Linked DNA regions of Drosophila melanogaster. The protein of the gene in region 1 interacts with the protein of each later gene in a pairwise test. Each region holds a gene or a part of one and is shown on either strand. Other genes may lie near its edges.

Region 1 (4,641 bases):
TCGCTGTCATCACCAGCATCGCCGCCGTCGCTCTCCAGGGCAACCACCTCGTCCTCGGCCTCGCTCTCCTGGTCGGGTGCTTCACGGAAACGCGACAGATCGTCCTCGAAGTCCTTGATGTACTTGCGTACCTTCTGGCGCAAAGTGCCCAGCGACTTGGAGTTGTTCTTGGAAAGGTTTTTCCTGCCCTCGCGATCCTCCCACACCTCGTTGATGAAGTCCTCCAGCTCGGCCAGGCAGCGAATGTAAAATCGCGGCGTAATGCCGTTCTCCTCCTTTGAGATGACCGGCAGTGCCTTCTGGTAGGCGCGCGTCAGATCCTCGAAGCTGCTCAGGGTATTGGGAATATCCTTGATTTTCTTGTGGTTGCGAATGGTTTTGATGATGCTGGTGAGGTTCTCGTAACGCTTCTCCTTCGTGGAGCGGACCACGCGCTTGACCTCCTCCTCATCGTCGCTGAATTGCTGTTTTCCACGGAAAGGAATAGATTAGTAATGGATGAGTTTCACATCTGGGCGGCACTTACGAAGGCGCTGGCTTTGTTGAAGTTGGTCGCTTGGATCTCCTCCTCGCTGGACTCGGACTCCGATTCGGACCCGTTGGCAAAGAAACGCGACATCTTTGTTGACTTTCTACGCGGCCGTTTGTCTGCGCCTGGAATCACAATTTATTAGTTTCGGGCCACATAAGATTTTGCTTTGTTGAGGTTATGTTTGAGCGGCCAACATGGCGTTTTGCAAAAACGTATGCCAAATATTTCCGCATGACATTTGGTTGTTTCATTCGAAGCCCTGGCAGAAATCGGTTCACTGCCTTGCTTTTTAAGTGTTTACTACCACCTGGCGTTTGATATTTCACAATAAACTTACTATTTTACAGCAAAACTAAACGATGTCGAATGCACAAGACATCAAAAAGAGAGACTAGAGATGGGCGATGGTTGCATGTGTTTTCGTTGGCGATATATATTGCTCAAAGTCACGGGGCGGGGCGTTTGATTTATGTATTAATAATAACTGTCATGTTGAGAAATGATTACTCTCTACTAATATTCGTAAGGAGAGCGTTTTAAACATTTTTTTAAATGTAACAGAACATTTGTTTTTTTATGTGGCGGACCAACAGTTACCGAAATCTATCCCATCTCTAAGGGAGTCACTGTTTTGACTGAATGCGAGCGCGTACTCATCGATAACGAAATGCCGGCACTTCTCGAGATATATCGATATCAAGTAACCGGTTGGGCGGTACATTTAAAATAAATCCATTAAATTACATAGCAAATATATCATCAAAATGAAATAGTGGCCATTTAAGTAACTATTCAAAATAATGTTAAAAAGATAATCAGTGATCAATGCTTACATAGATGTTGCATTGGTGACCTGCAACATTTGAAGTTGCCAGCAACATGTTGCTGCGCTTGCGTGCAAAAGTGCCGGCATTTCTTAGCCAAACAGAGTGGGGTTCCCATTCTGGCGCCCCAACCAATCTCCGGATCAATTGGTCCGGCCAACATGCAGCCAGGCAGCCAAGGAAAGGCCAAAGCAAAACCAAGCCAAACGTTTTCGCGCGCGCCAACAAGTCGCATGCGTTCTCTCCTCCGCGCCGACGGACAGTTCAAGTTCAAAAACTCAATTTTTCGGATGTACTCGGCGATTTGGCAGCGTTGATGCCAATATCCGGCGATAGAGTCTCAAGTGCTTTTGCGGCCCGCTAAAAAGAATTCAATAAATTCATTCATTTGAATTCTTGTGTGTTGTGTTGTGTCTTGGCGGTGTAAACAAAATTTGGCCCAAGTGTGCGGTGTGTGCGTGGCATGTGCTCTGCCCATCCACATCCTGTTTAAGTGGCATCCTAAATGAGATGCGACGCCCGGAATCGCTTGAAAACACGAGTAACACGGAAAACACTTTAACGCAAATGTAAGCATAATAAATAATAACTGCAGATTGATGGAGATGTGTGTATCTGCGGTCTCGGAAATGGCAAATTAAAAATTGATCGGTTAATCTCGCGTAATCGCCCTTTTCCTGGCTTTTCGACAGCTGACATTCGAGAGTGCATATGGCGGCTTTATTATCCGGAGAAATTGATGAGAGCTCCATAAATTCCCTGTCCGCCTATCGACATTTGAATCCGTAAAGGGTCCGTGAAATAGTACGGGTTTCTGCTCCTTGACTCCTCCGAAACTGCAGCTGCAATCGTAAATTGTGTGTGGGTGCAAAAGCTTATATGCATTTACATACATCCAAATCGGCAAAAACGGGCCCCTTTTTCCTGGGGTTCTGTTTCTGTTTCCGTTACGCTTTTGTGCTGTTTATTTTGCTTCCGTTTTCCGTTGGATTGTTACGGCTTGTGCGGCCCCATAAATCCTATATATGGGTTGGATATTTTCAAAACCGATGCTCGAAACAGACTATAGAAATTTCCATTTAAATGCGATTTCTGCCCTTGCTCGAGCATAGATTTCCTGTTGATTGAATACAAATGTTGAGTTACGCAATTTCAATGAATAATTCCTAATAACTACTCCCACGTTCCTGCCTCCATTTTAATTTAGTTTTTATTGATAAAACCGATGCACTTCTTTTTCATTCAATTCGTCATCATCCATTACACAGAAAAAATGGCTTTATATTTAGATAAATATTTTCCTGAAATAAAGTATTTCTTATTCGATAATATTATATTTTTAATAATTTGCCTTCTCTCAATTTGAAAATATTTTAATTCCTATGGATATTTTAATATAATGGAGCATATTGTAAAATTAATGTCCGCTTACTACAAAACTCTTTTGCGAATAAATTGAATAGTTTCTTTCCATGCACTATAAATTCTGCGTGTTTTTCATTTCAATTTAGGAGGAGCAGACATAAAGGTTACAGTCGTAATCAGAATCTTGAGCTCATGTTTTATTCGGGGATTTGGACAACACCCTTTTCATGCTGCACACTGAGTTTCCACAAGACGGAAACTCCCAAGCTAATGAAAAACCAGGGAAAAAACCCCAAAACAAGCTAAAGCCATGGACAGGAGCACTTGAGAATGCACAAAAATGACTGGGTGGGAAATAAAAATGCAGGCGAAATCCCAAAGTGCATCGCTTGTGGTAGCCATTTATTTGCTTTTGGCAGCTGGATACGTTAACGTGGCTTTAAGGTGCCATTAGCATGGCCTCACGATCGTGAAAACTTGTGAGGCAAAACAAATTTGCAGCTCTTGGAAAATATAGTCTTCCTTCGCACCTAATCGCTAAAATTGTCTATATTTTGGCGTACTATATATATATATATTTAAATGGGGCGTGCTCCTGGACACGATCCGTTCATCTAGTCAGTCCATTGAGTAAGTTTGTTTACAATTAACCGACGCGACAGCATTAAACAAAAACTATGTAAACATATTCATGAAACATATGGGTGTGATCTCGAAAATGTTATTCTGTTGAATGGATTGATTTAAGGTGCCTACGAATTAAACAATATCAGCACCTTGCCAAATTTTCGTTGGCAAATCTTACAAAAACGAAACACAACGAAAAAAAAATAAATAGCGAAAAGCCGCGTAAAAGCAAATACATTTTACATTCTCGATTTATTGACTGCTTATCTGCGAAAAGTTCAATTAAAGGCCAAGTTTATACATTATTTAGCAGCGCTCAAAAAGGAAGAAATATACAAATGAACAGGCGAAATCGCTTAGATAAGGTTTCTATTCAACTCCCCAGAAGTCCGCCCTATAAACATGTTTATAGCATGATATTTATGTATTTGGGTTACCTTTTGATTTATGCTGGCAACCATTTGATATGCATCTTTCGCGTTTTGGTTCGTCGCTATTGTTCTTCCCGGAAAACCAAGAAAACCCTGAAAACCGCACCCATTTCGAATTTCCAACCATTTATAGCCCTCAAACTCTGGGGTCGTCTGGCATCTGCTAGGGCAAACTAATTTCGCCCGGCTAATACATACGAATGACAGTCGTTTAATTTCTATGAGTCATAAATTTTTATAATGCGCATACGCCATGTGTGCGCGTCACAGTCGAAACGAACTGAAAGTAAGGCGGCAAACAATTGCAACTAATTAGTTCGAAATGAAGGCGAATCCACGGGCACACGCTGTTTGTAGTTAATCAAGGGCAGAAACAGCAGCGAAAGAAACTCTCGGCGAACTTAAATTGAAATGTTAGATACATACGTACGTAGTTTTCCTCCTTTTGTTTTAGTTGGAAAAGTTCGTTCGTTTGGGCAAACACAACACGTCGTCACTTCAAGTGTCTGGATCTGAGCGGTCCAAACTGTCATTTCTGCCCGGAATCTCAATCTCAATCCTTGTTGAAGTTTTTGTTTGCATTGGGGGCGTGGCCAGAGATCAACCCAATACATAAGCCAATCACCACAAAACATCCGAGTAATGATGCGGAACTTTTCAAGTGCCTTTGTCTCTCACTTCTGGCCTTTCCTTTCCTCTCACTTTCACTTTCACTTCCACTTTCATTTTCACTTTCACTCCTGCTTTTTTTCGATGCTTTTGTCCAAAGGACACTGGACATTGACAGTCTTGTTGTCGTCCAGATTCAAATCTCTACGAAGAAAAGTTATTAGCAATGGCGAATGGCGAGGATGTCTGTGCA
Region 2 (5,127 bases), on another chromosome or scaffold:
GCCGCTGCCAACTGGCAACAAAAGTCAATTCACAGACACTCCAGTCGACGGAGTCGGAGTGCAGCCAAAAGGCAAACAAAATACGTTCGCATAGGCAAAGCCCAAGGATACACACAAAGGTACAGTGGTTGCTCTGACTACAAATACAAATTAAACAGGGCCAGAGCTTTAATACCAATTCGATACCATTGCAACAACAGCATTTCAAATGCTACTTTTTTATATCAGATAAAGATAGGTAGAAAAGGCTATATTTACGTTAAAGGCAAGCTGATATTTTAGAAATTTATTCAAAAACAAAATTAATTACTTTGACACATAATATTGTATTTAGTCATCTGACTAGAAACTAGAAATCTCTGAATGTAACGAAGTTCTGTGCATTCTTACAAATATTACAAAAAGTATCTGCTAGATACCACTGTGCGGAACTGGGCCACAAATTCAGACGCAGTGTGTGACAAAGGACTTCTCCCTTCCCCGCTCGGCGACCCTGAATGCTGAATGCCCCCGTGTGTGCCGCTGCTGAAGCGAAACACCCAAAGAGTCACTGACAGAAACAGGATTCGGGTAATAAATTACAAAATTTGACATTTTCTGTTTTGGATCCGCTTGCGCCTGAATGCGAGCGGCAGCCCTCTCTGTCGCACGCCGTCTAGCCGTCTCTTTCGTTCGGTTTCGGTGTGTGTCCAGTTCGGTCGGGCCAAGTCGAGCGTTGCATGAAGCAGCCGGACCTGCCAGGACCTGGACCAGGACCTGAACCTGCATCCAAGAGGCATCGCCGCAATGGTCATAATGACGCTGCCGGGATGCAGCTGAGGACAAGGAGAGCCGTCAGTGGGCAGCGAGAAAGGGACGGAATAGAAGCGCCCTATGCGGTCCGTTGATAGTTAACTGGAAATTTATTATTTTACACAATTTACAATTATCTGATTCGAATGTGCACTCAGCGACGAGGATTCCGGCAGATGGGCAGTACGAGTGAGAGTGCGGGGGTCCAAGTTCGGACGACAGATGCAGTTGTCCTCCCATGGGAACGGCCTCATTTCAGCAGAAGTCACCGAAACGATTTAAGATGTGATTTAATTTTCCAGAAACTGTGGCCATAGTTTCGTCGCTCTTCGGGGGAATTTCTTCGCCAGACAGACAGCGTCGTCATCAATCATCTCGCAGAGTAAAGCCGGGTTAACCTCGATGGGTTTTAGGGGGAAACTTGGCCCGGGGCTGATCAGGAATCAGGCTGGAAATATGAAAATTAAATGCGTTTGGGCAGCAGAAAGTTTTCGAATGGTTCGGTGCTTATACAACAAGTGAAATTTTGCACATCAAACGGCCTTTGACCACATTTAATCCTTAAATCATCTGCCATAGGAACTAATTGATCGAGATCCAGACACATATTAAACACATCAATATATATACACAAATATAATCAATATAGACTATGTTATATTTCGACGTTTCCTATCCTCGTATGCTGTGAGTACACATATTAACCTTCAGCCGTGTAAAGAAATTTCTACGAACAGCCAAGTTAAAGGTACCCAAATTTCCCGAATACTGCTCTTTAAATATCCTTCAGAATTTCCCAGCATGGCTGAACCAGGACTCGATTCAAGTTCCACCCAATGCCTTGTACACCACCCCGTTGTTTTTGCCTTTTCGCGCATGCGCCCCTGCTCCGGCGCAAAAGAGACAGCACTAATGAGACGGCGCTGGGATCGCTGGCATTTCCAGAGCGGCTAGGATATTCCAGGGACCGCTCGTAATCGTTGCTGTTGTTGTTAGCCGCCAGCGGAAAGTAGTGCGCCATGCCATAAATCACACAAATGGGTAGAGTTCCAACTTTCCCACCCCGCCGCTGCTCCTTTTATTGTCCTTCCACGAACCCCGAAACGTTTATGGCCAAATGGCGGCACGAATTTGAATTTGAATTTCGCACGCGGTCTCTCAGTTCGCCTGCGGCCGCTTTCGCTGGCGCTTTGTTTTTGCAACTGACCGCTTATCTTGGGGCGGGGGCTGTCAAGTGGGCGGGGCAGGAGGGCCACAGGCAGAGGCATAAACAACAGCAGCGAGCAGCAAAACAAATCAATTAAAGACCAGAAGGAAAGTGCATTGATAACTGAGCCCGAAGTCAAACTCACGCACAAGTAAACAATTTAAATACGAACTAAAATGCAAACACAGATACAAAATACAGATAGAGATACTGAACAAACACAGATACAAATACTGTGAAGGCGACAATGTACATAACCGAGGGGTGATAAGATCCAAAACGTCGATGACTTCTTCATCGGCAAATACACTGAAAAAAGCTGTTACTAATTATTAAAAAATATGCAATATAATAAAAGGTAAACTATTTTTTTTACTAAATTTTAAACTATTTACTAAACACTGCCATTTAAAATCTTTTTTCACATCCTTAACTACAAAAAAATTAATTTTAAATCAAATTGATTTCGTTTACCTGGCTATTCATTAAAAAAAAAAATAAGTATTGATATATCGGAAAACTAAGTTATCTCCGTTTTTACCAGTGTATCCATTAAGAAGCAACGTTGTCTAGACACAGCCGCGGTAATCAATCATAATGGTGTCTATCTGCTTCATTCTCGCGGTGTACAAATTTCGGGACTTTCCTTGAGAAACCGAGCCATCGACGTCGGCGCGTCAGGAAGAATACAAAAATAAGAACCCGATTCTCAGAACCTCAGCAGAGATACGGATTTTTGAGCCGAGCTCGGTCGCCTCTTTCAATTCAGTCGAGTCCCGAACGCGAAGTGAAGCGCATTGAACCCACATTGAACTGAGAGATAGTCGAGGAAAAAGAGTCACAAAATCAACAGCAACATCCTGTAAATAAACAGAAATGTATGAATTATATTAAAATAAGACGATAAAGCTGAAAAGTGTGTACAAGCCTTATAAATGTTTCAAAACGAGTGTGTGTGCAGAATTCTTTCCTTCTTATTTACTTTTGAAAGATACTTTTAAAGATATACTTGTGACCTTTAAATTATTATTCTATAATTGAACCTAGTTTTAGTTTATTATATTGAATTCGAAGATGGGTTAAAAATGGCAGTTCTCCATTACATACGAAATATTTAGAATGGCTAACGCGATCAAAAGACTCAACATAAAGTGATACACTAATAAATCTCAAATCTATTTTGATTTCTTACAGACCAGACATGGCGCGTCTGCGGCTTCTAATCGGTCTTATATTCTGCCTTGCGATCAGCTTGGATTCGGTGCTTAGTGCCCCAGTGATCAGCCAGATCAGCAAGGACGTGGTGGCCAGTGTGGGCGACTCTGTGGAGTTCAACTGCACCGTGGAGGAGGTGGGACAGCTCTCGGTGAGCTGGGCCAAGCGTCCCAGCGAGTCGGACACCAACTCGGTGGTGCTCTCCATGCGGAATATCCTCAGTCTGCCCGACCAGCGGTACAACGTAACGGTCACCGAAGGACCCAAGACCGGAAGTGCCATTTACACCTTCCGCATTCAGAACATCGAAGTCAGTGACATGGGTCCGTACGAGTGTCAGGTGCTTGTTTCGGCCACGGAGAAGGTGACCAAGAAGCTGAGCCTGCAGATCAAGACCCCGCCGGTGATTGCGGAGAACACCCCCAAGAGCACCCTGGTGACAGAGGGACAGAATCTGGAGCTGACCTGCCATGCCAATGGCTTTCCCAAGCCTACGATCTCCTGGGCCCGCGAGCATAATGCAGTGATGCCTGCCGGTGGCCATTTGCTGGCCGAACCAACTCTCCGGATTCGTTCCGTGCACCGGATGGATCGCGGCGGCTACTACTGCATCGCGCAGAACGGAGAGGGCCAGCCGGACAAGAGGTTGATCCGGGTCGAAGTGGAGTTCCGTCCGCAGATTGCCGTCCAGAGGCCCAAGATCGCCCAAATGGTGTCCCATTCCGCGGAGCTGGAGTGCTCCGTGCAGGGCTACCCGGCTCCGACTGTAGTTTGGCACAAGAATGGCGTGCCCCTGCAGTCTAGCCGGCACCACGAGGTGGCCAACACCGCCTCCTCCTCGGGAACCACAACCTCTGTGCTGCGCATCGATAGCGTGGGCGAGGAGGACTTTGGGGACTACTACTGCAATGCCACCAATAAGCTGGGACACGCCGATGCGCGACTGCATCTCTTCCAGACCGTCATCCCAGTGCCCTCCTTGTCGTAATAAGCCCTCAACGTCTGATTTCCATTCCCACGCAACAAGACTGGAACCCTCACTTTCTCCTCTCGTCTCGCTTTTTCGGCAATTCGCCAGTCCGGATGCGGTCTGTGTTTATATTATTAATGATTCATTCAATTAGCTCCCATTCAGACTTCATTATTTTCGGACACACTTGAGATCGAGCCACCGCTTGTGCCTTATGAATTTTGCTCTGCATCCGTCGGCTTGTGCAAACACACATTAATATGCTTAAGTAAATAACGTTCTCTGATAAAGTTTAATCGGTCTTTTCCTATGTGGTTGGGTTGGCTTGTATACGGTGTAAGTTAAATACCATGAGAGAATAAACACCTCTTGAAGCAACGAATTAAAGGGTTTGTCATTCAATAAAACTAAGCCAGGAGACAAGGCATTGTCAAAAGTATTTCATTGTTTTATCGAGAGGGAATCTAAAAATATATGGTAAGTGCAGATATAAATGAAAAATTAATCACTTCTAAACAACACCCAATGCTCCATGGATCTTATTAATTTATAACAATAAACAATTCAAACTTTACACTTTAAAAGCCACAGTTTCGTTAGAATGATGGCTAGAACATCCAAATCTTTTAAAAATCCATTAACTTTTTTGGATGCCACTTTCCAAACCCTAAATAACAGATCTTTCAAGATCTTCTTCCTTAAAGCTGCCATCTGAGTCCGCAAGGTCCCACCTTGACACCAAAAACAGCATGTAACCTCCATTCTGAGCTGGTATTCCAACGGTTAACGCTGCCGAAGTCATTTGCCAAAAAGTTAACCGAGCCCGCTCAAAGTGCCACAGCGTTTAACTCTTCAATCATGGTTAAAAAATGGCAGTCAGTTGTTCACCTCTTGACGTAAACACTCACATGGTCAAAATGCGGAGTGGGTTGTGTGGCGAAAA

The links. Proteins that work in one complex are often made in the same cells at the same time.
Region 2: the proteins of CCHa1-R (region 1) and Ama interact in a two-hybrid assay, tested with the Drosophila melanogaster proteins (one large-scale study listed by BioGRID).

The regions. Positions count from the first base shown.
Region 1 is NT_033778.4:17,662,045-17,666,685, reverse strand, and holds the start of CCHa1-R (CCHamide-1 receptor), read left to right. Parts: upstream 1-1,617; 5' UTR 1,618-1,925; intron 1,926-4,641. Other genes in the region: eIF3c (eukaryotic translation initiation factor 3 subunit c), read right to left, coding at 1-464, 527-619. UniProt on the Drosophila melanogaster protein: Receptor for the neuropeptide CCHamide-1. Plays a role in the modulation of starvation-induced olfactory behavior where starved flies show increased responsiveness to food odorants, repellants and pheromones.
Region 2 is NT_033777.3:6,760,640-6,765,766, forward strand, and holds Ama (amalgam), read left to right. Parts: upstream 1-1,953; 5' UTR 1,954-2,340; coding exon 2,341-2,357; intron 2,358-2,540; exon of another isoform or gene 2,541-2,877; intron 2,878-3,193; coding exon 3,194-4,202; 3' UTR 4,203-4,622; downstream 4,623-5,127.